4 linked regions of the Alligator mississippiensis genome follow. The protein of the gene in region 4 interacts with the protein of the main gene of each other region in a pairwise test. Links are inferred from orthologs where the notes say so. Each region holds a gene or a part of one and is shown on either strand. Other genes may lie near its edges. The genes, in order: PKM, HOXC4, TCERG1 and HTT.

The links.
Region 1: the proteins of HTT (region 4) and PKM interact in binary tests that used the Homo sapiens proteins (3 or more experiments, as listed by UniProt). The link is inferred for Alligator mississippiensis from reciprocal best matches to the Homo sapiens genes HTT and PKM.
Region 2: the proteins of HTT (region 4) and HOXC4 interact in binary tests that used the Homo sapiens proteins (3 or more experiments, as listed by UniProt). The link is inferred for Alligator mississippiensis from reciprocal best matches to the Homo sapiens genes HTT and HOXC4.
Region 3: the proteins of HTT (region 4) and TCERG1 interact in binary tests that used the Homo sapiens proteins (3 or more experiments, as listed by UniProt). The link is inferred for Alligator mississippiensis from reciprocal best matches to the Homo sapiens genes HTT and TCERG1.

The regions. Positions count from the first base shown.
Region 1 is NC_081834.1:45,149,298-45,156,824, reverse strand, and holds the start of PKM (pyruvate kinase PKM), read right to left. Parts: upstream 3,012-7,527; 5' UTR 2,905-3,011; intron 1-2,904. UniProt on the Homo sapiens protein: Catalyzes the final rate-limiting step of glycolysis by mediating the transfer of a phosphoryl group from phosphoenolpyruvate (PEP) to ADP, generating ATP.
Region 2 is NC_081838.1:8,231,753-8,238,756, forward strand, and holds the start of HOXC4 (homeobox protein Hox-C4), read right to left. Parts: upstream 3,019-7,004; 5' UTR 2,514-3,018; intron 67-2,513; exon of another isoform or gene 1-66. UniProt on the Homo sapiens protein: Sequence-specific transcription factor which is part of a developmental regulatory system that provides cells with specific positional identities on the anterior-posterior axis.
Region 3 is NC_081832.1:64,410,111-64,417,544, forward strand, and holds the start of TCERG1 (transcription elongation regulator 1), read right to left. Parts: upstream 3,009-7,434; 5' UTR 2,987-3,008; coding exon 2,901-2,986; intron 2,438-2,900; exon of another isoform or gene 2,326-2,437; intron 1,724-2,325; coding exon 1,498-1,723; intron 1-1,497. UniProt on the Homo sapiens protein: Transcription factor that binds RNA polymerase II and inhibits the elongation of transcripts from target promoters. Regulates transcription elongation in a TATA box-dependent manner.
Region 4 is NC_081825.1:21,137,659-21,145,251, reverse strand, and holds the start of HTT (huntingtin), read right to left. Parts: upstream 3,012-7,593; 5' UTR 2,933-3,011; coding exon 2,832-2,932; intron 1-2,831.

The sequences.
Region 1 (7,527 bases), on a different chromosome or scaffold from region 4:
CAGAACTGGTATGTAAGGAATAAAAGGCAAGAGTGAGAGGAGCTTGTTCTACATTTGAGAAGCTCAGTCTCTCATCTGTGGTAAGTTTAATATCAAGGCACATAAGGCCAAGAACTAGCTGTTTAGATTAACATCTAAGGGACTGTGTCAGTTTTACATCTGTTCCAAGGAAAAGTTGACTTATTTTAACTACAACTCACATTTTGCTGTTTGTCCCCTGAACCAATGCCTCAAGTAGAAAGATTCAGCAACTCCTTTTCTGGGAAGCAGAACAGGATTTTCTGCTTCCCTATGGTTTTTGTATGCGATACCCTGCACTGTTATGTAACTAGGCAAAATGGCTCCCATTTTCCAAGCAATTTCTTTTCTGTGATATTGGGCATGTTCCAGGAATCACCACCTGTCACTTCAGCTGAAGTATTAAAGCACCTGACCCAAATGACAATTGCAGACACGCACTCTCTCTCTTCAATTATACATTTGCTGCCTGTCTTTGTGATGCTAATGTTCCTCTGACTTTCAGAGGAAAAAGTTAACAGGATTGAAAAAGGTCATGTTGGAACAGCTGTACTGCATGACATCAGCACTTTCCCTGGATGAGCAAGGATTAGCTGCCAGATCAACATATGACCCAGCTCAACTTGCTCCTCCCAGAGAGGGTCAAGTCCTAGGATGAGCTTAAAACTGAGTTCTCTATAGGCGAGATAACTTTATCAGATCAACACAGGTGAGGGCCAATAACCTATCCAGAAAAAGAGGAGTATTTTTGGTGCAAACAAAGGGTCAGTCACTTATCTGTACTGCTTTGATAGCATGTGCAGCTAAAGTTATTTCAGGAAATCTCAAGATCCCACTCCCGTGCTGTCAGTAAACAAGGCTTGTGACCATCCAGAGGGGGCTAGAAACAAGTGTATTTGCAGAGAAAAAGATTCAAAACTAGCCGAGGTTAGAGATGGGTCACAGCCCTGCGCTATTGCAACTGCACTGCCCTCTTGGCTAAAGCCTTCCTGCGCAAGTAATTCAGTGGTGGCAGCCAGTAGGTACTGCAGCTCTCTTTTCTCCTACGTGCTGTTCATCACACCACACTGCAGCTAAACTCAGATGCTTTTCAAGAAGGGGATGGGCTACCCAATCTCCCCTAGGACTAGAAATTGTTTGTCCAAAACCAAAGGACAGGAAAGAGACAGAGCTGCCACATGGCTTGTCCTGACCTTACCTCCTTACAGCTTCACCTAAATGGATTCCTCTTTGGACCTTATGAAGTCAAAACTGCCCCTCTCCCTCTCTGCTGGAAGCAGAGTCTGAATTAGATGATTTACATGAGAAGCATGAGAATGCAATGTGTTCATTTCACTGAGGTTTTGTTATTCGTTAGCAGTTGAGATGCCATGTTCTTCCTTTCAACTGACAACGGATTGGAACAAAATTAGGGGATGCAGCTCCCTCCAATCCTACATTTACTGCAGTGACAGACAGCCTGCACCGTCATTGCCAACTTGCCAGAATTTCTAGCAGATCCTACTTCCAGAAAGATCTTAAAACACGCAGGCCCAAATACGTATGCATTGCGTCATAGCAGAATTACTCCTCTGCTGGGAGAGCAGAGGAATTTGTTGCTATTAACTGGCATCACTGGGAGTACAGGACTGAGAACTAGCTACAGAAATCATCATGGTACACTATGCAGGGATCCTGGTTTTATCTGGTTTAAAAAATGCCCTAACCCCAAATCCACATTTTTCCATGATTTAAAAAGTATATAGATATATACCTATAGTGATGTTTCATTTTAAATCACAGGAAAATGTGGACCTGGAGTTACTTTTTTTTTGTTTTTTTTTTAAAAAAAACAAACCAGAAATTGGGGAATTTTTTAAAATTGGAGAAAACCAGGATCCCTGTATTGGGCATCAAGTCCCACCACGTCTATTCTAGTCTCAAGCAACCTACTAGAAAGGTACGGCTGGGCACGGCCACATAGCTGCCTTGTCTGGGTCTAGGAAATGAGGCAGCCCTCTTCCACGAGGCCTTCGAGCTGGATGAAAGGTAACATTACCCTGCGAGGCCCCTGTCGCACAAATAAAGGCTAGGGAGCAGCTATTTAAAGGAGCCCAGTTCAGAAGGCAACGAGAAGCCTTTGAGGGATGATGCAGAGATTAACACTCGCACACAGATCTGAAAGCCCAGCCCCGATTTCTGTTACTTTATGCCCCAGGCATCCAGCTATTGAAGACAAACACATTAAAATAAATAAAACAGAAGAGGCGGGGGGAACAAGTCTACTTGTATTAATCTGAGGAGACAGAAGTGAAGCTTCCACTGGATCGCAACAAAAGCGCCATCCATGCACATCCGACTCCGAAAGCAGAGGATCAAGCATGGTTTTCATTTCCCTTGGTGAAGCAGAAGCGAGAGCCGCGGCGTGTCTGCAAGGACAGGCCGGGGGCGGCAGAGGGGCGCCCCTGCACGGTCCCAGCCCAGCAGCATCGCGGGGGGGGGGGGGGGGGGGGGGGGGGGGGGGGAGGCGGTCTGATGCCGTTTCCGACCCGGCCCAGCGGGGCCCGACCCGCGCTTAGTCACCGCAGGGGAAACTAAACCGAAACAAGATGTTGCAACGGAGCCGAGCCCAGCCCCCCCCCCCACGGGGGAACAAACTATTTCCCGCATCCCCCCGCATCTGCGGCGGCGAAAATTAGCATTTTTCTTTTCTGAAGAAAGCTGCGGTGGCCCCGGCCCGGCCCGCTCCGCTCCGCTCCGCCAACAACGCACCCGCGGCTCCCACGTGCGCCGGCCGCCCGCCTGCCCAGGGAAGCGGGGCACCCTGCGGCCCGGCCCGGCTCAGACAGTGGGAGCTGTTGCTGCTGCCGGCGACGCGGCGCGGAGGGGGGGGGGGGGGGGAGTTACCTGCAGCTCTCACCCGCGTCTGTCCCCTCCGAGCGTCGCCGCTTCTCTGCGCCCGGTCCCTCCCCGCGCCCGCCTCAAGGTGATGTCGGCCCCGCGGCCGCCGCACCGCCCCGCGGATCCCTCCGCCGCTCGGGGGACAGCGCCGCGCCGCACTTCTTTTCTCTCCCCTCAGCGGAAGCACAAGATGCGGAGTTGCGAGGAAGTGATGCGTCTCCACGCGAGCGGGCAGGCGGCCAATAGGGAGGCGGCGGGCACGCGGGCGGGGAGTGACAGGGGCAATTAAAGGGGCCGCGCCCGTTATAGCTCGCGGCGGTCGGAGTCGCAGCCACAGCGCCGGGTCTTAAAGGAGCAGCAGCTTCTTAAAGGGGCCGCGTTCCCCACCCCCTTTCTCTATCCCCGCACCAAGGGTTTTCAGGGAGCGCTCCGTCCAGGGCCCCACACCCGTAGGGCCGGGCTCTCCCCCTCACAGCACGTATCACCCGGCAGCCTCCTTGGGAACCGCATCCTTTTCAAGGCTGCGTGCTTCAGTGCCTCTTAAAGGGACAGGACCCGATTGCTGCCCCTTTCCCCTCCCCCATGTGCACAGAGGTCAGGCTGCCCAACAGGGGACCTTTGCTGAATACCTCCTCCCCCTGCCTTTCAGGGCCCTGAAACCCTGGGACAAAGGGTCTTCTGTTTCCCATTGTTCCTTTTCTCCCATTTGGGTCCTTCTTTGCCTCCCGCCTTTTGCAGCAGGGCTCCCAGGGAGCTGCTGGGGAGATTGATGCGTCCAGGGAGCAAAGTGCCACAGAGATCCCAGCAGGTCAAGTGACGAAGGGAAGAGAGACCTGGCTCAGGACTACAGGTCGTAGCCGTGTTGGCCTCAGGACATAGGCAGACAGGGTTCTTTGGGTAAATAAATCCAAATATCTTTTATTAGACCAACTCAAATAGTTGGGAAAAGCCTTCCTTGCAAGCTTTTGGGTACAAACACCCTTTGCCAGGCAGAGGAAGTGGCTGCAGTTGTTTTCTGCTCCGGATGCTGGATTCTGGCTTCTGTCCCATCCAGGAAGAGCACAAAACAACCGCAGATGCTCCCTCAGTCTGTCGAAGGATGTTTGTACCCAAAAGCTGGCAGAGAAGAATTTTTCCAACTATTTGAGTTGGTCTAATAAAAGATATCACATTTATCCGAAAAGCCTGGCTTGCTGAGAGACCTGGCTGGCGTGCAGCTGGCTTGCACACAGCTTGAGGGCCCAGGTTACCAGGCCCTTTTTCCACTTCCCTGGAGGCTAGTTCAGGACTGCCCAAAAGGTCAGGCAGTCACCTTTCACCACGCTGTGCAGACTCCCCCCAGAGATGGAGGATCTGGCAGGGTCGGATCCAGGGTGGGGGATTCCTGCTCCACCCCAACTTCAAAACCACCTGCCTGGGAGAGGCAGCCGCATTTCTATTCAGGCAGCACTGAAGGAGCCCACTTTAAATGAAATAATATAGTGCTAGCCCCCCTAGCCTATTAGTAGCATCTCTAGTTTCTCTTTAACTAGAGAAAAACGTGCATTGTGTCATATGGGATGATGTATCGCATCATCTGCTCCCCCTTTCTCAAAATCCTAATCTGCCCACAGGAGCTTAGCTTTGAGTTGTTGGGACTGCCAGATGCCCCCTCCCCCACGAAGCGGCCCATCACTCAGCTGCCTGTATCCGGGATGTCAGATGTCCTGCATGGGCTGAGGCTCCCTCATAGCTGCTGGTGTTGAAAGGGGGGTGGAGGGTGTTGCAGATTAGCAACCTCCAAGAAGGAGCTAGTATGATGGAGCAGCAGCTTGTGACTAGTCTGCCGTGGTTTTAAGGTCACATTGTCTCTTCTTTCAGCTGGAAATAATTGATGTACCTTGGTGAATAATGTAGCATGCCTGCTTTCTTCTGTATCAGCCTGCATTCCTCCTGTCCTCACATATTCATCAGGCTGGAATCTTGAAATGTTACACTGAGAAACATTTTGAAAGCAAAACAACAGAGGTTTTTATTTTTAAGCAATGTAGAGGCTTTTAGGTACAATTAAAGGTGGCATGAATCACTCTCCAGCACAGGGGCTTATAGATGCCGAAGGACCAGGGATAACAGCCAGCGCACCAAAATCAGGAAAGTGATATATAGCTCACTTAGACTCAGATTTCCATTTCTGCTCCTAGCTCCAGCTGAAATCAAATAGGCCTAATAATTCGGGGCCTTAATACCTTTGAGGATCTGGGTCTTACTGTTTATGTTGCTTTAATAACAATGCCAGCTTTTATATGAAGCCCCTCAATCATATAGACCTCTAGATGCCTTTCAAAGGGAATCAGTATAATTTTTCTCCATTTACAGATGAGAAAATTGAGGCACAAAGAAGTGGTAAATGACTTGCTCAAAATCACCAGCAAAGTTGACACTACAACCCAGGTCTCTTGAGCACCAGTCTATGAGCTGCTCACACTGGGTCACACTGTCTCTCCCCTCAGCATTTTGAGATTGTCCAGCATGTGCCTAAGCACTGAGGTCTTAGGCCAAAAATAGGAATCTAAACTTAGGATCCTAAATGTGGCCTAATTTTCACAAATGCCAAGCAGCCACTGACTTCAGTGGGATCTGTGGGGTCCTCAGCAGGTCAGTTATTTAGCAACCTAAGGATTGAGTTAAAAATGCAGGGCTCTTACTTTGAAAATCTTGGCCTATATCTCTTACTCGGGGCTACTGTCAACCTTACAGCTGTAGCCAGAACCTGGAATCTAAAATAATGAATCCCTAGTTGACTAAGTAACCTAAACTTCATGCATTATTAGCTAAGGGGTTCAAGTATCAATCAGTTAGGGCTTGAAGGGGCAGGAGAGGGGCGTATAAATGAATGAAATAGGTATATAAACTAATGAATAGTGCAGAGGAGTTGGAAAACATGCTTCTGCTCCCCCTTTGTCATAGTACAAAAACAAGGGGAGAGATAATGAAATGAAGAGAAAGCACATTTCAAATAAATAGAAAGAAATGCTAGAAAATTAACCTGTGATTCAGAGATTCACCCAAATCAAGAACGTAATAGGGGTCAATCAAGGATTAGACTATGAATATGAATATGTTAATAGGCTCTTCCTTCCTCAGCTGGCTGGCTTGCAGGGGGCAGTGGTTTGAGAGAGGTTGGCTAATGAAAAGTGAAAGGACATGTTTCTCTGCGGGCACTGGCCACCTCTGGGGGTGAGAGGCACTGCTGGCTGCACATCTGGCCGGATTTGTAAGGAGTGGTGGTTCAGTCTGTGACCCCCCATGCTGTGCTGTTCTCATCTACAGTGACACCAGCTAGGATATAAATGGATATGAGACAGGAGCCCTTGTGCATCAAGGCATGAGCCAGATGGTGCCTGAGGGGATTCAGAAGGCGTGTCCCCTGTGGACGGCTTATTCCACCATTGTCTAATATTCAGGCTTTGACACAGCTCCTCTTTCTCTGAGAGAAAGCTCCATCTTCACTTTTCTCTGCTTCAGGAAACCTTTCTGAGGACTCTTATCTCCTACTATCTCTTTCTTCCCTGGCTGGTGAAGCATTTGGCCAGACATGGTAGGTGCTGCAACATGATCCCTTCCACCTCCCAGGGAGGAGGGTGGTGGGGACAAGTCACAGGAGCCACTGGAGGGATCTCACCCCAACCGGTTCCCTGTGTGCCCAGCTGCAGGGTTCATAGGTACAGGAGGGCCCTGATTTAACCTCCAAGTTCAGCCTCTCTCAATGGGCCCTGGCTGTGAGGCGCTTGGCAGGGGGCTTTGTGCCGCAGGGATTATGAACCCGCACATCCCCTCAGGCAGAGGAAGCTGAGGGGGAATCTGTGCATGGAGCTGGGCCCAGTGGGGTGGGGCTGTAGGGTTGCAGGTTCCCAGACTTCCTGGCGATGGAGCAGCAGCAACACTTAGCGGAGGAGAAGAGTTCCCATTGGAAAAACCACACCAGCTTATACTCCTCCAAAGGAAAATGATCTGTTCCCACCACTAGCTCCCCATCAACGAAGGGAGAGGAAAGGGGATTGGAGGAGGAGAGGAGAGACAGGAGAAGAGCAGTTCCATGCAGATGCTCATCTGCACATGATGACCAAAGCTGCCTCATGCCCATGACACACAGGCTGTTGAAAATGGGCACAAAATCGACTACAAGCTCCTTTAAGCATGGCTAGGTCTGGAGCAGATTCTGCAGCTACAGGAGGTGGAAGAGGAGATGCTAGATAGCTGTCTGATCTGGCCTGACATTTCCTGCCTACAGAGGAATCTTGGTTCTGACAGAGGCTAGCACCTCTTGTCTGCATCAGAAGCCACCATACAATCAGGAGACTCAGTCTGTGCCTACCACACCTCCAGTTACAATAAGATGCCAGCGCCCTATTGTAAATAAGCATTTAGATTCACTTTTCCTAATGGTATTAGCATGGTATGCACAGACAGAGCCTCCCATTTACACAGATGGTGAGGTCTTCTCTGCCACACCACGCGAGCTAAGCCTGCTGTTGGTTTGATTGTCTGTACAAGGATATAATCACTATCTCCTGGCTGTGTGGGTGCTCTCCTGTCACCCAGAGCTAACAGCCAAGAGGGAAAATCTCCATTCAAAATCCTTTTCCCATT
Region 2 (7,004 bases), on a different chromosome or scaffold from region 4:
AAGCACTCAAGGATCCTATTTCTGTAATCATGTGGTTCCAATAAACGCTCATTGTTTGCCCATAAACTGTCTTTACGACTTCAGAGATCGCAGCAAACAGTCTCCCATCGTGTTTGCAGAAACAAAACCAAGGCAGAGTTGTCTCCCTGGCTTCCCACCCCCAGCTCAGGATACACTCGTGCTCTCCTTTAAAGAAATAAAATCATCTCAGGAATGAGCCTGCCAGAAATTGCCCCCTCGAAAGACGCCAAATAAAACTCGCCTCTTTTTTTTCCCCCATTCATTAGAAAGCAACTGTTTTCAATTTACCAGGTCGCATGGCTCTTGCATGAACCGAAGACGCCGGCAATTTTTCGAATCATAATAGTAATAGCAGTAATAATAATAATAACATAATACTAACATGAATAGCAGCAATAATAATAGTAGTAGTAACAATAATGATAGTGATGACGATGGTAGTAGTAGTAATAATAGTAATAATAACAACAATAATAATAATACACGGCAGGAATGATCAGGTGGATTTAACAATATTTCTCAAAACAACCTTTAAGACAAAGGATAGAAGCACATGTCCCTTTTTGAACCCTAGCAAGTTCTTCCTCTCCTTTTTTTTTTTTTTTAATAGTTATTTTTTTCCACGCCACACAGAGAAATCAAATTAAGAATCAGTCCCAGGGAACTTCTAAACCACTCAGATCACTTTAGATAACCTCTGGCGAGTTCCCACTGGAAATTAAAGGACAGAAGAGGCCGTATTTTTTTGTAACCCAGGAAAGCAGAAAGTATCCCTCCGTTGCACGGTTTAAGCCTGAACTCAATCAGCTTGAGAGGTCCTTTCGATAAGGCGATCAATCCATATATTGCATTCATATAGCTGGGACCCCTCAATAATTTATAAGAAGGCAGGGACCAGCAATTTTTTTTGCCACCCTTCCCCCCTTCCCAGCCCATAGTCACAACAACGTCTGTTTTATCTTTTACTTTATGGTATCATTTTATATGCCCACCATTTTATACTGTGACTTCCAGCCACAGGAGTTTCGACTGCAAACACAGACACACAGTTCACGAAAAGCCGGCATGCCGAGGGGATAAGAAGGAGGAAAAAAAGAAGAGAAAAGAAAATTAAGCTAGAACAGCGCATCCCTTAAGTGAAACCAATACGTGGATCGCTTTCTATAGTAGTGTGGACAGCCTGATATATAGAGAGCTAGAGATATATGGAGAGCTGATATAGAGAGCTAGAGATGGTAGGTATCTAGAGATAGATAGATAGATAGATAGATAGATAGATAGATAGATAGATAGATAGATAGATAGATAGATAGATAGATAGATAGAGATGTGTCTGTGCGTGTGTAAGAAGAAAGTCTCCTTTCCATTGCACTCACTAAAGGTCCTTCAGGAGGAAAAGGTATTCAAAGACAAGGGGGAAATAGATGCTGAATAAAACTCTAGGGGGTCAACATCATGGGAAACCCAGGTGGAATTAGCAGGAGCACCCTCATGTAAAAAGATGCCTGCAACTTGTGTCCATAGGGAGCAGAGCCGGGAGAAAAGGTTTGCAATCTCCTGCCGAGGGCCAGGAGCACAATAGGGGGAGAAGAACCGGGTTCGTGGGAAGCTCCCAGCCCAGCCGCCGGGTGTGAGTGGAGGTACGGATGGGAGGGTGAGCACAGGATGGGTGTTTTCTTCTTCTTTTTTTTTTTTTTTTTGGTGGTGGGGGGTGGGAAGAAATTCGGAATAAAACCAGGCAGACGAACCTGGCCTTAAATCATGTGCTGGAGGCAGTGGGGGCTGGGCGTGCAAGGCCGTGTTTGTTGCACGCACACACACTCACACATCCCCCCCCCCCCGCCATAATTGCTCATTAAAAATGGCACAAACCGCTTGAGTGAGACGGCGGCTGCTAGGACGCTTCCTGGATGCGGCTCGCGGCCCGCACTGCGCATGTGTGCTCAGTAGACACCCCCTGATTTCCTCTTATGAAAAGTTTGGGGATTCTTTTATATAGAGAACTATATGGAGGTATTGGCTCTGGTGCTTAGGGCTTGCAATCCACAGCTGGCCCCTGCCCTCTCTGCCCACCCCCCTCTTATTCCCTCCCCCACCCAACACCCATCTTGCAATCCCCCCCCCCTTTAATTTTAACTAGTAGATGGTCCATCGGATGCATCTGAGGCCTTCCAGCAACACCCCCTCCCCTCTCCCCACACACACCCCCCGCCACCCCCGTGAACACTGCACCATTGTCAATGCAAAAGCAGGCTGCAGCAAGCATCCCTGGCTGTCTCCAGCAAACCAGATCGGCACAAATGTGACATCAGCAGGAGCAAGCCCCTCTTCCCCCGAATTAACTGCATTGGTGCCGAAGCCCAGCACAAGTCTACCATATCCAAGCTACACCCCTCGCTCGCAAAAAAAAAAAACCCCGATGCATCATTATCTTTAACACCCATTGCTATGGATCATTAGTTACACATTTTAGCCAATAAGGGAACACTTACCAACGTTGCCTGTCTCCCCCTCTCCCTGTCTCTCTCTGTCTCTCTCTCTCTCTTTCTCTCTCTCTCTCTTTCTGATCCACTGACGCTGCAGCTCAGCTCCACAGAAACATTTTTTTTTAAAAAAAAGGAAAAATAATCATAATAATCATATAAAAAAATAAGAAAGATGGAAACCAAAGCGAAACAGTTTCTTCTCTGCTTGGACAGGGGATGGGGGGAGCTTAGCAAGGCATAGCATGGGGTTTTTTTCCCTAAAAAAGAAAAAAAAAGGGAAAAAAAAACGGTATTTACAACTCCTTCTGCCCCTGTTCACTGCATCGTCCAAAGGAAATATACTGCGTTTTGCCCCTAGGGGTTGAGAAAAGGAAGCAAGCACGAGACGCAGCAGTAAACACATTATATCCCAAAATGCCCAAGGCAACCAACACTTCCAACCCCAAGGAGAGGAAAAAAAAAATCTAGATCTCAAAAAAAATAATAATAATGATGCTAATAATGAGGGGGGAAAAATACCATCCTACCCCTGGCACTGCTTGGACTGTTAAAGGAAGGACTACTGCGAAAGAGTCATAAGAGAAACCACAATAAAAAGTTCACGTTCATGGATGGAGTCCACATGACTTCCTGTGGCCAATCCAACTTGTGATTCAGTCGTAAACTTTTATTGCTTAGCTGTAAATTTTCTGCAAACAACCAGGAATGCATTGCATTTTTGTGACGAGTGCAAATGCTCTCCTCTGTCGCCATGTTTATACAATTCTTTTTTAATATTAGTATTTTTTTTTAAAAAGCCTTCTCTCTCCCGTCCCCCCCCCCCCGCCCAGTTTCATTAAAGGGAACAAATTAATATCGGGGATTTTCAAAGAGCGAGGTTGCCTCGTCACGTCTGAGCTGCCTTGTTGAAGGATCAGCCGGACTTGTTGTTGTTGTTGGGTTTTTAAGGCAGGGAGATTTGGCCTTATGCGCCGTGTTCATTTGGTTAATTAATTAAGTGTCTTAGTGGAATGAGCACGAAGGAGGCAAAGAGGGGAAATAGGGATATTGCGGGGAATTGAAATAATAATAATCATCATCATACAATGATCAACCCCTGTTAAATTCAAGCAGAGCTAGGAATAAAGACCACTGAGTTGGGTTGTGGGTTTTCTTGAATTTCCACCAAGGGTGTGTCCGCTTGGATGTCGGGGCTGAGCCCCAATTTCCTTCGGGTTTTCCTCCATATCCTCTGTGCTACATAACCGAGCCCTCTAACTCAACACTAAAGATATGGGAAGGATCATATTATTAACCTCCAAAGGGGAGCAGCTAATGCCGTATTTCCCCAGCAATTTCCTTTAATTTTTTTTGCCTTCATTTTTATGGCGGTATTTTTTTTGTGTATGTGTAATTAATTAATTCCTTCCCAATTATAGGATGGCGTGGTGGGATTCTTTTATTTTTAATCACGGCGTGTCTGGAAATCCTAGCTAGAACTTGTCTGTGAGCCCTCATCCCTTTATCGCACAAGGTTGGTGGTGGGTTTTTTTTTTTGGGGGGGGTGCATATTTTGTATCAGGAATTATTTTTTTTTATTTTGATATTTGGATTTGGGGGGTTAAGCCGATATAAGAAAAACAGACATTTGGTGCTAGGGCAAAAAAATGTTGTCATGTAGAGGCCTGCTAGGAGCATGTGACGAGTCCCATAACCTTTGCAAATCGCCCAGCATTCTTAGTTAGATCTGCTAGTTCAGATTAAATGTTGCACTTCTTCCTCCTTCCCCCCCCTCCACCCCCACCCCTGAAATATTTTGACCATCTCAACTCGCTTCAGGGCTAGACACAAGAGCCAGGACAAAGATTGGAGAGATAAGACTACCACAAAAAAAAATCACCGCATTTTTGTCGCAATAGTAGGACTCAAGGGCTCTACACATATCTCCCCCCTCTGCTCTCGTATTATAGAGAAAGGTCAATTCTGCAGGTATTTCTCATCGCTTTGCCTTTATTTGCTTATTTTCAGCTAAGGGCAGGGGGGTTGCGGGGGGTGGGGGGGAGGGCGCACGCGTGTGTGTCTGTCTGTCCAAACAACACAAAGGTTGCAATACAACCGGATGGAAGGGAAATTACTTTATTCACTTTACAAACCACCAATAAATTTTATAACAGGTAGTTAAAAGTTACGAGCGGGGAGCCAGCGGCACAACAGCGCCCGGAACACAATGGACTTGCCATTTTCCAAAGCAGCAGACGAGAGAAAAGAATCCATAAAATGAACAGGACATTTTATCTTTTGCAAGGAAAAAAAAAAAAACAACGAGGAAAAAAAAAAATCCCCAACAACCCCACAACCTGCCCGACCCGTTTCCAAAGCAGTCTTTCGGCCCATTATTTTAATATGACCTTTCTACAGGATCTCAGCCCCATGCAACGCTGCTTTTCCACTTCTTGGGCTGGAATGAAATATTAGAAAAGGTCTCTTTTCTTGTTATCCCCCCCCCTCCCCTTTCTCTTCAAGGAAAAGCCAATTTTGGGGGAGAAATGGGGTGAAGTGAGGAAAAAAATTGAAGCCAGGTGGGGAAAAAAAATCTCCCCTTCCCCAAGTTTCTCAAACTTTCTTATTTGTACCCACCCCCTTCCGAGCTGTGTTGGGTGTTGGCAAAAGATGCATATACACATAACGCCTGAGAAATTCGTTGCCTCTCCAATATAATCTGCGCCCATATTCCGGTATAAAATCTAAACGAATTTTTGAGCCTAATGGATGCATTCTCGTGGAGCGGCGGCTGTGATTAGAATAATAAATTAAGGCAAAATGAGCAATAAGCTGCAGATCAGCTTTTCGCGGAATTATATTTTTCACAAATCACAAATGGAGATCCGAAGGAAATTTGATTGGCTAATAAAAAGCGTGGAATAGGATGATATTTCTTACTGCAGGCGGCTAGATGAGTCTAATTTCAGTAATGTCGAAGCGATGATCATTTCGGTATAAGCCACTTTGTGAGGAGCGCATCTTCTTTGAAATTACTTTCCCCTCATAAAATGGCTCTTTTTTTTCCTCCTCCCCCCCCCTCTTTTTTCTCTCTCGAAATGATGGGATGATTGAGAAAATCACTGGATGGCAGCTGAAGATGCGACTCTGTTGTGTTGACTGCAGCCCATAAACAGTTAGCCAAAAAAAAAAAAGAGGGGGGGAACTGCTTGACTTGTAGTTTCAATAATTTCCCTTCAGACCCTTGCGCAGATAAATGTCGTTCTGTATTATTTGTGCCTATCAAACTACTTAGAGCCGGGGGTTTAAATATGATGGATAGAGAACGCCGCCAACGTTTTCTTGTATTTTATTTTATTTTTAAATGAGATATGTTCTCGCTCTTGCCTAATCCCCGTGAACAAAAATAATAATAATAATAATCTGGGTATTTCCTATGTAAGATTTCATCAAAATCTTTTTTTTTTCCCCTCCCCAAAAGGCAGGAGTTTAGAAATAGCCCTGAGGGACTTCGCTTGAATTTGCCTGCTAACATTGATGCAGAGGTGCACAGACGCCTTGCACTGTAGCAAGGGGAAGATAACTACCGGGTTGTAAATGCCAGAAGAATAACCCTGAAGATGATACCTCAGTTCAAATAAACCCGTCTGGCTTATGGCTAATAAACCAGCCTACCTTAAGTGGCTACTTTGGCAAGAGCGAAGGCTATAGCGAGCCTTATTTTATTTCTGTAGCTCTTCCAAGGAGAAAACGAGTTGATAAGCACGTCTGTTTGCCCTACAATAAGCAGCCGACTAGAAACGGTTGGGTGTGCGGTACAGCCGTGTTGCGTGTGTTGTGTGCGGTTCCAGGGCTCGGAGGTGTGTGCATGCTGGGATGCAGGGATCAGATGCCTGCAGACAGACAGACACACTTCCCTTGCCCGCACACCCTGCAAGCAAGCACGCACTCCTTCGCCCCGCATGGACACACACCTTGTGTGTGGTGCTCTCTTGAACCTGCAGACACCCTGGCACACGGGTCTAGCCCCACACACGCCGTGTCGCACATTCACAGGCACCAGAGGGGAGAGGGGAGGCTGGGTAAGCGCACGGGTCCACATTGAAGTCATGCTTTAATACGGGATGAAACCCGCAGCCGAGCCCTGCCTCTTGCTGGGGATCTGAGCAGTGTCCAGCCTTGCCCATCACCGAGGCATTTAAATCCTTTAAGCTTCGTGTTTTGGGTTAGGAATGTCCCACGCAAACCCCAGACGCTGTGCAGTGAATCAATGCATCCTAGGAATTTTGTGCTTGCTTATCTCTCCTATCTGGGTAAACAACCCGTCTACTTTTATTTCCTCTTGCCCTATATGATGTAGTCCATTTAGAGCAGGGAGAGGGGAAAACAAGAGATGGAAAGATTTCACAGCCCCATCTCCATCGCTGAGCGAAAGGAAGACGAGCGCAAGGGAAATATTTGCAATGTCTTAGTTATTCCAACTCTCCAAGAGAACTGAAGGCACCGCGGTGGGGTTAG
Region 3 (7,434 bases), on a different chromosome or scaffold from region 4:
AGTTGGTCAAAAAGTTCCTCAGGCCTAATCGTCCAATGTAAACGAATTGTAACATTTTCAGATTCTTGGGGCTTTTCTGGTGCATGCTTTGGAAGTATGGGCAAAAGGGTTAGGATCAAAACAGGGAGCGGGAACAACAGCTGTGGGAGCAATGTCAAAAGCGTGGAGGCAGTTTCTTTGCCAACCTTTGCCTCTTCAGGCTGTGCTCCGGCACTGCTACTGAGGGACAAGCAAACCCTTAAACAGTAACTATTATAAGTTCAATATCCTAAAGATCACTTATAATTTGGATATACAAGGACAGTAATCAGAGCTCTGTCAAAGAGCAGTGTTTCCATAGAATTATCTTCCCTATAAACCCTCAATGATTAAGGGGTCACCCTCAAAAGGACCTTTACTCTCTAGGAGCTCAGCTCTGTGAAAAGGAATGACAGCTGGGCCCCTTTCCTTCTAGTGACTTTTCTTCCTCACAAGCCTGTCAAGCCATCTCTCTCTCCTTCTTCCTCCTCCCTCAAACATATACCCACGTATCCTCCCTATAGCTTCTGCACCAGACCATGGGAGGGCCCTTTCCCTCCACTGCTCCCTAATCAACAATAAGAGCCCAAAACTGCCCACCTTCTTCTGCTGCCACCAACAATGGGGAGGGAGAAGAGAAAAAAAAAAGGCCTTAGGCCGACCTCCTTTTCCACCTCAAGAAAGTTCCAACAAGGCAAACTTGATCCCTCAACATCTGCATCACATCACAACCGTTCCAACCAAGCTCTTCACCCTTAAATACAGCAACACCACACACTGGCTGCAGCTGCAGTGCATACTGGAATTTATCTTTGTCAAACATGAGCAATAAATATCACTCACATCTCTTACTAAGCCACTCTTACTGACCCCTTCCAAGTGGCTGTGCAGGCTACGTAACAGAAAGGCAGAGAAGACACCTTAGCTGTGTAATGCTTGGTTTTCAGTAATTCTGAGCATGGCTGTACCATGCCAATGTTTTTGGAAGGGTATGATGCACTGCAAGACAACCACAACTCTGCACTGGCCAAGAGTCTCTATTAATGATTTTTTATGTGATTTTATTAGGTTAGTATTGATGACTTATCAAAACAGTGATCTACTATTAACACTTCCGAAACTGATGCAAAATGATTCACCTAACACAGGGGCAGGCAATTATTTTGGGCGAAGGGCCGCTTACTGAGTTTTGGCAAGCCATCGAGGGCCACTTGACAGGCAGCCAGGGGCAGATAAATATTAATTTTCTAAATCTTTTATGGGCCCCGTGGGCCAGACAGAATGGCCTGGCAGGCTGCATCTGGCCCACAGGCTGCATTTTGCCCGCCCCTGATCTAAGAGGACTCTGACCCCCATCTTTTTCAGCATTTATTATTGTCTTCTTCTCTGCTTTAAAGACTTCTGGCTGTTGCTTGCCTTATCACTTCTACCCACATCAAAGCAAAAAGAAAGCAACCTGACCATTCGCAAGCTCTTTACCTGTAAATGTGGAGGCCCCATTGGTGGAGGAATCCCTCCCGGAGGTGGCATTGGAGGCATGTTCGGATCAAACGGAGGACGTCCAAAGGGCGGCCGAGGTGGCGGAGGTGGACCGCGCATCATACCGAAAGGTGGAGGTGGACGCATAAGAGGTGGCGGGCCTCTCATAACGGCATTTGGTGGCGGAGCTGGACCACGAAATCTCAGTGCCTGCTGCTGAGCCATTCTGTGTCAGGGCAGAAGGAAAAAATATATTTTTGTTTGCTGAATAACTATGGGATGGTCTAAAAATCGTGTGCTGCTTGTATAAAAAGTGAAATTAGAAAAACCAAAAGGATGTGACAAATTTAACACTCAGCGACCAGGATTTAAAGTGCAAGTGCTTTAAGAGTTTCCCCACCCTGGTCTCACCATTTCAGGTTCACTACTCTTGTGTATAATTTTCTTTTTTAGTCAGAAAAACAAGTAACATATGGATCGGACGATTTCAGAAGGAGCAGGTGCTGTGCAAGCTTCCCTCAAACCGATCTGCCAAGCACCTCAAACGTGACCTGCTATATACCCATGCCTATAAACACGCGCATCCTGGGCTCTTCGAACAACAGCTGCCAATTGCACCCAGGGTTTTATTTCTTTTGTAACGTGAACAAGCATCCACCAGGGACTCGGACGAGACCACCTACATCCTTTTCACTCGTGACCCAAGGCAGGAGTCAAGCCCTGATGTGAAGCAGCAAAGGGCTGAGGTGCTAAACCCGCGGTGCCACCCAGCCCAGTACGCAGGTACCTTAATAAGTGCACAGATAGAGGAAAAAAAACAACGTTCACCTTTGCAACCAACAAACGCTCTTCTGACGCTCTCAGGAAAACAATTGTGCCCACCATTTAGTGCCAGTGCAATACCGACGTTGGCACGGAGACTCAAAAAAATAAAAATAATCTAAAAAAACCAGAGGTTACAATAAGGCGCACGGCAACACGCACCGATTACACCGCGTCTGATTTCAGTTCGTCGAGCACACACGGTACGTTATCGGACGGACGGCGGTGCTCTCCCCTACCCTGCGGGTCTTTCAGAAGAGGGCAGACGAGCACCTGGCCGGGGCTGTCCCGGCCCAGCGCTTTCTCCCGCCCGGGGCAGGGGGTCGGACTCGATCTACCAAGATCCCTTCCAACCCGAAAAAAATCAATTAAAAGAAACTCTAGCTGAGTGGCGGAGTTGAGGCGATGGCCGGAAGCGGGGCCCGAGGCAGCATCGCCCCAAGCCCCAGCCAGGCCCGGCGGGGGAGGGGGAGAGGGAGGGGAAGGGGGCAGGGCCCGGGAGGCCACCTCCCCCGAGCGCCCAACGGCCGCGGGACCGGGGGGAGGGGGGAGGAGCGCGGAGCCCCTCAACGCGGCGCTACCTGATCTCGTTGTTGTAGCGCTCCGCCGCCGCCGCCGCCGCGTCCCCCTCGCCACCTCCACCCGCGCCGCCGCCGCGCTCCGCCATCGCAACCTCGCCAGCCCCAGCGCCGCCGCCGCCGCCGCGCAGGCCCCACCGCGCTCCCATTGGCTGGCGGAGCCGTCACTCGCCGCGCGCGGGGGCGGGACCGACAGGGATTGGCCCGCGCGCCCGCCGACTTTGAATGAGGGGAGGCCGACGAGCGGTGATTGGCTGAACCCCACCGCCTCACGGCCTCCGCGACCTCGCGTCACGTGGCGGGTGACCTCGGGACGCGGCGGAACTGAGCTCACGTCCCGCGTCAACCAATCCGAGGTAAGGGGAAAGGAAAGAACCCGCGCTCCTCCAGGCCCGGCGACTGGGATTGGAACCAATCAAAGATCAGAAGGCGGCCAATCAAAAACCGGCGTGATCAGGAATTCCTAACCAATCCCGGGAAGGCACGAGTTCCGGGCCGCCGCCCCACCCCCCAGAGCCTGGCCGCCTGCCAGCCCGGCAGGAAACGAAGTTCTAATTCGGTAGCCAATGAGGGGCTGTTTGGATAGGTGCCAGCCAATCAGGCCGCGTTCGGTGATGCTGAGTTCCATCATAAGGCCGGGGTGTTGCGTGGCTCGTGTTTCTACGTTCTAAAGCCTGGGGCTGAGCGGGCGGCGGCACGTGGGTTGGGACCGACCCAGGAGCCGCCTCTGGCTCCTTTCAAGGCACGGCCTGTGCCCTGCCGCATACCCCCCACCCCCATTAGATAGATGGGTGTAATCTATTTTATTTATTTATTGGGAATATATATAAAAAATTCTCCTCCTAAGAGCATAGTGGCCACTAATGTGTTGAAATTTATTCCCAGATTGCAGGGGTTGTCTTTGCCTACATGGGACAGGCACAACTTGGTTAGTTTAGCTGTGTGGTAACAAGTCTTACGAGAAACAAGCTAATAGTTGAGGTAAGGAATGTTGCCTACCATCAATTGAAAGTGATAGGCTGTAGCAAATCCTTGTGCACTGGCATTGCTGAGCCCTGAAAACAGGAATTGTCCAGACAAAATTAGATCTTCAGAGGTGTCAAAAACATCCCTAGACAATTTACTGGGTATTGCGTGAGTTAACTGATCCAGGGCCCCTGGTACTGACATTTTGCCAATAGGAACCAAAAAAGTTGTTAAATATAGCAATGAAATCACCAAGGTGGCAACATTGCCATGCACAACCACTCACTAACTCCACTGGCTGCGTTAGCGTAAGCAGAAGTTTGCCCACACAGCAAGGCGCTATGCTAAAAGTGTCCAACTGGGCAAACTGGAATCCTGTAACTTTCACAATGGGACAACTTATGTGGAAATAAACACTTCCAATTCTCTACAGTCTCGTTCTGAAGAAAGCCTATTTATAAAACAGTTGTTTTTCCCAATATCCATCAGGTCATACTTCTCCCCACCATTTGGCCCCTAATTTTCACTGAGCCAGGCCCTGAGTGACTGGTGTTTTTGTGAGAGTCCAAAACCCCATTATTATATGGCAGAGATTTTCAAAATCGCCTTGAAACATCATTTAAGGTTAGGCTAGTCAAAGATTTTAATAAAGTTAACAATTACAAGAAATATTTAAGTAGAACTGGGCCTTAGCTGCAAACCGGGGATGTATCACTAAAGGTGCAATAGCACCTCGGAGCCTACATCATTAATGAGTCATGGACCAAGAGCTCCTTGTAGGCTTTTTACAAAACTGGTATAAAAAAAGAGACCATCCTTTTTTCCAAAGACCATAAATAAAAGTTTCCTTAAAGTTCTAGGAAATGGGATTACCTAAGACTTCTTTCCAGTTTACCAGCTGGGTCTATTCTGCACTTTGCTTCTGTCCCAGCCAGAGACGGCTTGTCGGTCTGCTAACTTTGGGAAGGGCTCTAACAGAGGGGTGTGGTGGTGAGGGGAGATTGCTTAGGGAAGGGAGAATTTTGAGTCATGACTCCTTCAGATTTTGCTTCAATATCTTTGCCTTTGCTTTTCATGCACAGTATAGATGTCAAAGATGACATGCTACTTTGCTGAAGGTTTATCTGGATACAAAATATACAAGGTTCCTTCCATACAAGCTCTTTGCAATTCTCCTTTCATTCACTAGGAGATCCCCTTGAACAGCAGTAGTGTGAAATGATCTCAAGTTTCAGTCTGTTCAGGTGCTGAAAAACTTCAGGGCCCTGGTTTTGATTTAACATGTATGTTAGGAATCATAATAAATACATTCTTAGAAATATGGTTCCACTTTTATGTCATCCTTCATTTAAAGTTCCCAAATTGCATTATAGATATTAATTAAACCTTGTAATGCCCACGTGAGGTGGATGTTTTTATATCCATTATTAAATTACCTTAACCTTAGGCAGCTTTTACAGCCTGTCTCCACCTTATTACTAAACCAGGCATCAGATCAGGCTTCAGAAGTTTTTCTTGGCAACCATGGATACTAGAAGAATAATTAGAATATTTAAAATCAGAAATGAGAAAGTAAGAGGTGTGTAGGTGGTAACAAATAAGCATGTCATGCTAGGTGTTATCTATTGCTTTTTATATAGACTGAAAATTCCCATGGGACAAAAATCAGTATCCTAGAGAGATGCCTGAACCAAAACTCACTTCATCCAAGTAGCCTTATGCTTTGAGGTGGTCAGATCATCTTGGGCCTATCTGATGTGCAGTAACATTACTGGTGATATAAGTAGCAGAGTGTAGGGATTGCTATGGTAGGCAGTGATAAATGGACTTAACTAGGAATTAAACAGGCAATGTCTCAAATGAGAACATTCAAGAACAAAGACACAACAGTATAGCATCGGAAAATTCTGTGCCAGGGCACAGGCTTTTCACCTCTTGGGGAAACTTGGGTCATTTCAGTGAGGTCTGATGCTTAGAACAGAAGACAATTTAGGCTATAGAAATCCTGCCTTGGTGTGGTGGCTAAAACCCAGCATGTTACCCTGTGTCTACAAGGTCCCTCTTTCCCACTATGTCCTATTTACAGCTCCCAGTCATTTGGATTATTAGGATGTAAGATTCTTTCCTATGTGGCCTGACGTGTAAAATTTCTAACTGGAAAAAATATTTCCCCAGCTCCTTTGATGTTGCTAATGAATGAGCTCTTTTTAAGTTATTCTTATGGCTGATAATTGTACAGTAGCTTCTGGGCAAAAGTGTCAGTAATGTGGGCATGTAGACTGGCCACTAGCATCAAATATTCATGCAGTCACAGATGGGAGTCTACAGTGAGTTTGCACAGAAGTGGAGTCTGTCTCACTTGCTCTTTGGTGAATGTATCTAAGCATCAAAAAGAACTTGTGATTTGCTTTTTCAGCTACATTTTATTAAAATATAAAAAAAGGAAGAAGTCCTTTTGCCAACTGGCATTTTGTGCAGAAATAAGTTAAGCAACTCAGAAAGCAAGCATCAGCCATCCCTCTCATCACACCAGACTGCAACTGGCCTCTGAGTGGATGCATAAAGTTGGAAGAAAGGCTACAAAGAAGTTTGCCTCCTGCCCCTAAATGTTATGGTCCAAGGGCAGGGAACTGCCAGTATTAGAGCCACTGCAGCAGTGCTCCTCTAGCAGTATTAGCTATTCCTACAAGGAACAGAGAGAAGGCAGGGCATGGCCTCTAGGCTGGCTCCACTCTGAGGAGCAAAGCTGGTGGGAATTAAAAATGCATCTTCTTCCTGTGCCTGGTTGCATGGGAGGCATTGCATTCTTAAGTCCAGGGAATTGTTCCTTAGGCTGGGTCTACATTACAGACTTTGTACTAGTATAACTACGTCTGTCAGGGATGTGAAAAAGTATGATGTGGTGACACATGACTGCTGGTAGAAACCCCTTTTTAGCAGTTTAGCCTGTTTTGCTCATGAGAATGGGTTACTGTATGGTTCAAACAGTAGAGCTTCATGCTCATAAGGAGTGCTCATTCAGTTTAGTGTACGGATATTTTCATACCAGTGTGGATTTGGCCTTACTTGGGTCCCTACTTCAGGAGAAAGTGACAGTGTCTGCTGATAACTCATGCTGCAATCTTGCCTGCAGCTTGAATTTCTGCAAATGTATAGCTTCCTCCAGCACCACTTAGTGGCTAAATACAGAATTGCAGATTCCCATAAGGTTGAATGTGGAAATTCTGCCGTGCTGATTGGTTTGTTCTGTCTCCTGATAGCACCTCACTTCCTGAAAGCCAGAAGATGTTAAGGTGCCTTCCTGCCTTCATGGTTACAGTCAAACACACATGAGTTATGTGGGCAAAACATCACAGAGAGACAGGTGAACAGGACTCCTGTGCTAAAGCCAACATAGAATAGGGCAGAAGGCCAATGAAAGACCGTAATAAGATGTTGCACCTCCTTATTCATTGGGGCTTTGAAATTATTAATTGAATGGATGCCACATGGTGTTGTGAAAGAAATTCAATCTAAGTTTTAAGGAATTTTTAATAAAATACCATTTTTGGTACATGACCTTGTCCTCACT
Region 4 (7,593 bases):
AGTCTCATCATGCGGGTCCTCTTCAGGTGGAGTAGAGCAGTCACCTACTCCCTAATAAATCCTCCTCTTCCCTCCCACCCACCTGCCCCTCTAACTCACTTCAAACTGAACAGTTTGCCCATATCCTCAGGAGGACGTGCTAAATGCTGAAAGTTCACCATGCTGTCACAACTTTTACCAAAGCTACTTCTAAAAATATTTATTTGTCCATACAACAGAATGTGGTTCTTTTAGGTAACGCTCGTCTTACAAAACTAATATTATTATTAAATGTAATTTTCAAAATTAGTAATCAAGAAACTAGTAGTTTCACTTTTATGTCTAGTCAGGTTGCTGTTTTGTGACTAAACAACATCCAAGTTGAAGATGGCACAAAGGAATGCTTTAAAAAGTTCTCTCTTGCTCCTCCCGCATTAAAAAAAAAACCCAGCAGCATTCAGATGGAATTTTATTAAAGTATTTAAGTATAGTTGACCCTCAGTATTTGCATTCTTCCAAGACAGAAGTGGCAGTTAAAAAAAATAAGAGAGTTTGTAAATAGCTTGATAATGTTTAAAAGGAAAAGTTGAGAGAGAGAAAAACAAATTCACAAGTTGCTTCCCTCCTATAACCAACAGAAATGGATTATAATCTTATACTATATGCAGGTACTTCTTACAAACAAAGTGATTTTGTCTGAATTCCAAGCCTCCCAACATCCTAATAGTATTCCTGTATTTTCAAAGTTATTTACAATATGAAGTTGTAATTTATACAGTGACATTGAGTAAGCAAGGTCTTGTAAGTTACAGTGATAACTTTTCACAGTAAGAACAAGTACATGTCACTAAGCCACCCAGCCAGCTTGTAGTTTTGCCACATCTAGTTCTCAAGTTACCTTCTCTTCCTTGTTCCTTCTAAATGAAAGATTTAAACCAACAATTAAGAAGACTGTTGGATTAGATTGTTGAACAACTGAACGGTTGAACAACTGAGAAGATCGTTTATCATATTGTAAATAACAGTTGTAGGAGGTAAAGCAGTGAAAGACTTTACACAAAAGTCTATTAAATGAAAAGTAAACATACAGAAAAAGATAAGACTTTTCTCCCTTATTAGTATCCCTAGTTCAGTTTAAAGCACATGCCTGAAGCTTTCTGGATGTGGGTATTAAAATCATTTTAAAAAATTAAAGCAAAGACTACCAATATAACCCTTCGTAGTGTTAGAGTACAGTTGTATTGTAACTTCACTCATACAGTTCCTGGGGATTCCCAAAACAACCAATTTCCTATGCCAATTCTAAATTGCAACAGAGTTGATAAGGACAGGTCAGAGTCTGATTTCTCAATGTTTATTTTGCAGGTTCCCAAGACAAATTTTTATTTTTGTATTTCATGCCCATATTTGCAGTAATTCACAGCCAGAGCTCTTTTGGAGAAGGACTGTAAGAGGCTACTTTATCAACACCTTTCTGGATACATGCAATTAAACTGGATAAGAGAAAGCTTGTATTAAAGCTGTTCAGTGATGAAAATGCCTCAGCCTACCCTCCAAGAAGCAAGAGGCACCAACACATGCAGAAAAGCTGGATATAATTCCATAGCAGAGGCACAGGCGGCTCTCCTCACATGCCCTGCCATAAGAACATGAAAAATAAATAAAGATCATTCAAGACAACTCTCTTGAAACAATGTATACCATGTCAGCTTCCCTGATGCAGGCTCTAGGCAGATTCTTTCAGAGGATCTGACGTGAGCTTAGGCTCACTAAAGCTTGTGCTATATATATATATATATATATATATATATATATATATATATAATCTCCTTGGGATACTCCATAAGGCGGCAAAACTGCCCTGCCTTCAGCTTGCCTGATGTCTGGGTTTGGCATTGGTGCCCAGGAATCCAGCTCCACTGCTAACTGGCTCCATGCCTAAAGCTGCCAAAACCTCCACTTCAGAAATTACATATTCTCCGTCCTTCTGCTCCTTCCAATGTAAAGTGCGCACCACTTTACACCACGCACCGAGTCAGCGAAGCTCAACCAAGGCACCTCAGCACTCTGGGGTGCTGCGAGACCCTTTCGGGGTGCCACAGGATGCCACACAACGTCAGTACCATTAGCTGCGCAAACATGGTTCACAAGAGAAACCCCAGAATAAGAACCCACAACATTAAAAACCATTCTGCCCTGCAGGGTCTTTCTGAGCTCTTAACAACAGAGACGTCAAGTCACGCAGAAGCAGGGGCGGAAGGGACCTTCAGAGCTCATCCAGTCCAACCCTGCCCCACACAGGATCATCCCTATTCAAACCATAATCTAAACCGTGCCTAAGATGACCGCCAGCCCTGACACAACACACCCGAGCCTGCCCCAGGTAAAGCAGGAGCGCCGCTGAAGCCAGCGTCCTGTTTCTATGAGATGTTGTTGACATCGCTCAACAAATCCTGCAAAGGAAAGCAAAACCCCCTCAGCCTGCACCAACCTGACCATAGCTTAAAAATTTCTCCCTGGCATGAAATGTGGCGACCGGACTGACCCCGAGCAGAGGGGCAAGGCCCTCCAGCCAGAAACCTCCGGGTTTGGTGCCAGCAGCAGCCAACACCCAGCGCCTCTGAGGGAGGCTCAGCCCCTCAGACACGGGGAGCCGGCCAGCGGGGGCAGCCCCCGTAGCAGAAGGCAGACGCCGACACCGCCCCGGCCAGGGCCCGCACCGCCTCTGCCGACAGGGGCAAGCCCACAGCTTCCCTGGGCAGCGGCTCCGCGGCAGCAGCAGGAGCCCGCGGCCCGGCGGGAGCTGCCTCCCTGCCGCCTCGGGGGGTCCCTCGGCCCGACCCGGCACTCACGGCCTGTGCAGCGGCTCCTCGGGGACGGTGGCCGGGCCCTGCTGCTGCTGGAAGGAGCGCAGCGACTCGAAGGCCTTCATCAGCTTCTCCATAGTGGCCATGGCGCCGCGAGGAACGGGCGAGACGCTGCAGGGGCCGCGATGGCTCCGGGTTACCTCGCCGCCATCTTGGCCACGTCCCGTCGTGCCCCGCGCGGAGGCGCTCACGAGGGCAACGGGTGGAGGGGGGGGAGCGACAGCCTCATCCGCCAATCAGAAACGAAGATCGAGGACCCGGGATTCGCCCTCCCCGCCACTAGCAGGGTAGGGAGGGAAATGACAAGCTTGGTTGAGAGCTGCAGTGACGAACGGAGCCACGCTCCCTCCGGGCGCTCCGCCCACTTGGCTCTGCTAGTGGGCGGGTCCTAGCGCCGCTCGGGTACTCGGCACGCGGGCGCCCTCTGCTGGCTATGCGGTGCCGATGCTTCGTGCCCGGCGGCTGAGCCAGGCGGAGGGGAGAGGGGGGACCTGATTCATAGCAGCCCCCACAGCTCCTAGAAAGGAGACTGGCACGTTGGGTGCGCCCCCGAGCTGCCCCCGTCGCAGTGGGGTAGGGCATGGGGGTGTCCCGGGGGGTGTGAGCTCGTGTTTTATCCAGAGAAGACAGAGCAAGTTCCTCTGAATATCTAGGTTGTAGCTGGCTTGGTCTGGAGGCAAAAGCAATCAGGACTTGTGGTAGAGGAGATCTCTTTTATTAGAGCAACTAGACTTTTACCCCCCCGCCCCCAAAGCTTGCAATTAAATCATGTTTTTTGCAAAAATCTAAAAGATTTCACCTCTACCACGGTCCTGATTGCTTTTCCCTCGGAAGCAGACACCAGCGCACTGGGGCATTAGCAGTCAGGCAGCGTCCCCGAGAGCAGGGACATGCAGAGAGAAACCCGGCTCATTGCGCGGTGCCAGGTCCCAGTGTTGGCTACAAATGTCCAACTCAGGATCCTTAAAATTCTGGTTTATTAGGCGGATTGAAACACTGTAATGAAGTTAAATCATAAGCCTTGGAGCTGATGCCCACACGCACACATGCACACCCCCACAGTAGCAAGCTCCGAGAGTCAGGTATAGCTATCCCACAGGCGCTGGAGTCTGCCGTTGAGGCTTCTTCCAGCGTGGTGTTATCTTCCAGAAGGGGGTCGCCGGCTGGTCCTTCTGACTGGACAGGTCAGGTGCTGGTCAAGTTGGAGATCAAGAGGGCGCCCCTAACGGTCACTTTTCACTGCTTTTTACCTGTCCTTGGCAGACTTTGGTGACTTCCCAGTTTTCAGGTTTGCCCAATCCACGGGTCGTTGACCCTCGTGGAGCGTCCGTTGATTAATTTTGAATAGGGCTCTGGGAGCGGTCGATCTGGAGATATTCATCCCAAAAGTTGGTCCCCGGCGTTGATTAACTCAGACCAGGGCTTCTAGCCCTTGAACAGTGAAGTTTAGAGATTTCCCGGTTGTTACATTGTCTTCTATTGATTTCTTCCATTGGTTGATCTGCGGTTTCCCTAGGTGTTAATTGCTGTCTGCTACTGTGTTATGCATTCAGTCACTGATTCACTCGCTCTTTCAGGGGCCAGCCTGATACAGGGAAGCAACAGTTTGACTCCTGCCCTTGTTAACATTGTTACTAAAGACATTTATAGTTGAAAGTTGAAAGGTGAGGAGTATAAAATATAAGCTACAAGAGTAATGCCATGGCACACAAATAGATAAAAATACCAAAATACAAGGGGAGATACAAAATGCACACATACAAATTTTAAAACACAATTCCTTATCTTAAAGTGAAAGAAAGAGGAAGGAAGAAAAGGTAGAAGAGGAAAAACATATTCTAAGAGGGGAGAGCAAATGCAGGCAAGAGGAAAAGGGGGCTTTCTGCTACACCAGGGCCCCCAGGGTGTGAGGCAAGCTCCACGCTCGCCCACCTCTGCCTTTGTCTGGGGGAGTCTTATACCCTTCAGGTTCAAGTGTCTGAATTCCCACTCCTCCTTCTAAGATAAGGAGCTCTTGACCTATTCAGTAGGGAGTAAGGAAACAGAGTCATGATTCGTGACCATTGTTCTTTCCTAGGGTCATGACTTACTACCATCAGGTGCCATCGCTGGCCTGGGTATCTCGACTCCCTTGAAACTGTGCCTCACAATTCACTGCTCTTGATTTGCTTCTCTCATTCAGATCGAGCTATTTCTAGGATCAGAGCATCCGGGAGGTGAAACATAGTGACACACCCAGCACAGCAAAAAAGGGTGTTCAGGACTCCCCCACAGAAGTGAAGGCAGTTACCCAGGGGTGGGATGGCACAGAGCATCAAACCTCCAAGGGGGACAAGCTGAAGTAACCCAAGTGAGAGAACCAACCAGACTGCTGGGGTGCCACTTACAGCTTCTGACAAGCACATCCCCACTTCACCAGCCCTGCGGGGGTGTTTACTGCATACATGTACAAAGAATATACATTTGAAACTCAACATGCAAATCCATTTCTAAACCCGTTTACTTAAAACTTGTATGTAAAAAAATGCACACACAACTAATGCACAGACCCTCCACAACAAGTCAACAGGATCACTGGGCTTCAGTTGCCCATGTCAGGAGACACCCTGAAGTAGAAGTCCAATGGAGCTCTCCCCCAGCCTACCCCTCCTTTCATTTTTATGCCCATTTTCAGTAGGCCTGGCTTTCATGCTTTCTTAAAAGCAAGGGCTGGGTACACCCCACTCATTATGTTTGGACCAGCAGAGCAGAGTGGATGGGCATTGCCAAAGCAATAATCATGCCCTCTCCTGTGGGACATGGCAGCAGCCAAGCAGTATCTCCTGCCCTTTGAAGCAGAAGACCAGACTGTACTTCTCACTCACAGACATTGTACAAAGCAAGGCAAAGACGCATTTTTGTCAGGGGAAGGGGTATATTCAATTAAACTAAAAAGCTCAACTCAGTAATGTAGGATGTGGAAGGGATGCTTATCGTTTCCCTTGAGCGACAGAGCTAACGATGTATAAACTCATAAAAACAAGTCCTAAAAGTAGCTTTTTCCTTGGAATGGACAAAGGCTGGTATTGGATGTATTAATCAAGAGATCTTCGGAAGCCACTATCAGGCCGAAGTATGTATTTCATACATTATACACACAGTGCAAATTACACTTGCCAAATACTGCTGTACTATCAGTACTCAGTATAGTTTTACAGAACAGATTATACCCATTTCCAGCAACTGCACTTAATACACACTTGCTTGCCAACCGCTATTGCTGCTTGATTCTTACTTTATCAAAATGGAAAAGCCAAACACCTCCCTACTCTTCCTTTCTCCCTATGCATTTATTGCAGAACAAAGGCATTGACCAGGGTAAATGGAGACATTTTTACAGGAAGCTATGCTGAAAGTTGGCAACGCATCATCAATTCTTGTCAAAGTGAATAATTTAATCTGGAAGAGGTCCCATTTTTTCCTGTTTTCCAGTCCCTTGTTTTGAGGCAGGTATAGGTCAAAGTCAAACTAAATTTATTTTGTACCTATATTACTGCACTAAATACCAGCATGATGTTTTATGTTTATATGGACTTCCTCTTTACTTGTATAGCATTCACTGAATTAGAATAACCTCTTCATATCTTGTCCTATTTGACCATAAAACATGTTCCAAATACTTTGATTTCCCAGAAGGAAGGACTCCTCTCTCATGCCTGATGTGCCACATCCCAGGGTATTTTCTTCTGCTATTCAAAATTAATTACTGCTAAATTTACAGCTTACTATTATAAAGCTGTTTTTTTAAGTCAATATGTCTGTCAGTGCCCATCCAATTAAAAAAAAAATCAATGTGGTATTGCAATGAATTTTCCATACAGTTACAACTGCTGGTTTTAAAACTGGTGCTAGAATATGTTTAATCGCAACTCCCCCATTATACAAGTTAGATTAGTTAAAACAAGGAAGGAATATTTTCCCTGTGTAATTAAAAACTCTGACAACTCAGGCACATGTTTTTCGAAAAGTAGCAAAGGAACAAATGTGACCTATTTAGTGCAAAAGTAACTGCACAGTAAATCCTACACTTCTGTTTTCTTACTTCTGTACATCCTGTTTTCACATCACTGATTTCTGTTTATTGAATAAGTGCTATGCCAGCTGTTGTCATTCGTTTGGAGAAAAGCTGCAGCATAAGCTCCAATTACTAACACAAGATTTTTTTAAATAGATTTTGGTTCCATACAAATTCAGCTTTGCTGTCTTCCCTGACATGGATGCTCCAGAGTATCCCCTCAGCTATGGAAAATTTTTTATTTAGTCAAGCCTATATTTGATTATTTTAAGTTAAATAAAAGAAGTATCAGAGTTCCTTGTAGGGCTAGGTCCAACTTCAATCCTGACAAGTTAGACTCCCTAATACACAATTTGTAGGTACATAGCCTCTAGAACAGAATGCAGTTAGGTGCCTGGATTCCCTGCACAGAGAAAGTTAAGACACTTCAAGGTGGGATTTGAGGCAACTGCCTAGAGCTAGCCAATAAAAAACGCTAAGTACTGGCCTAAGGCTGAACTCCCATCCCCTTCTATCATTCAGGCAAAGGATGGAATTGAGCAAAGGTTCCACTTGCTTGAAACCTAGAGCCCAAATTCCTCTCCGAAGGACAGGTGCCTATATCTGTTCCCTGAAGGCTGCCAGAATCTCTCTTGCCCTTGCTGTGTGCCTTCTTTTCTGCATAGTAGTAGAGCTGCAACGGGAAAGATGGAG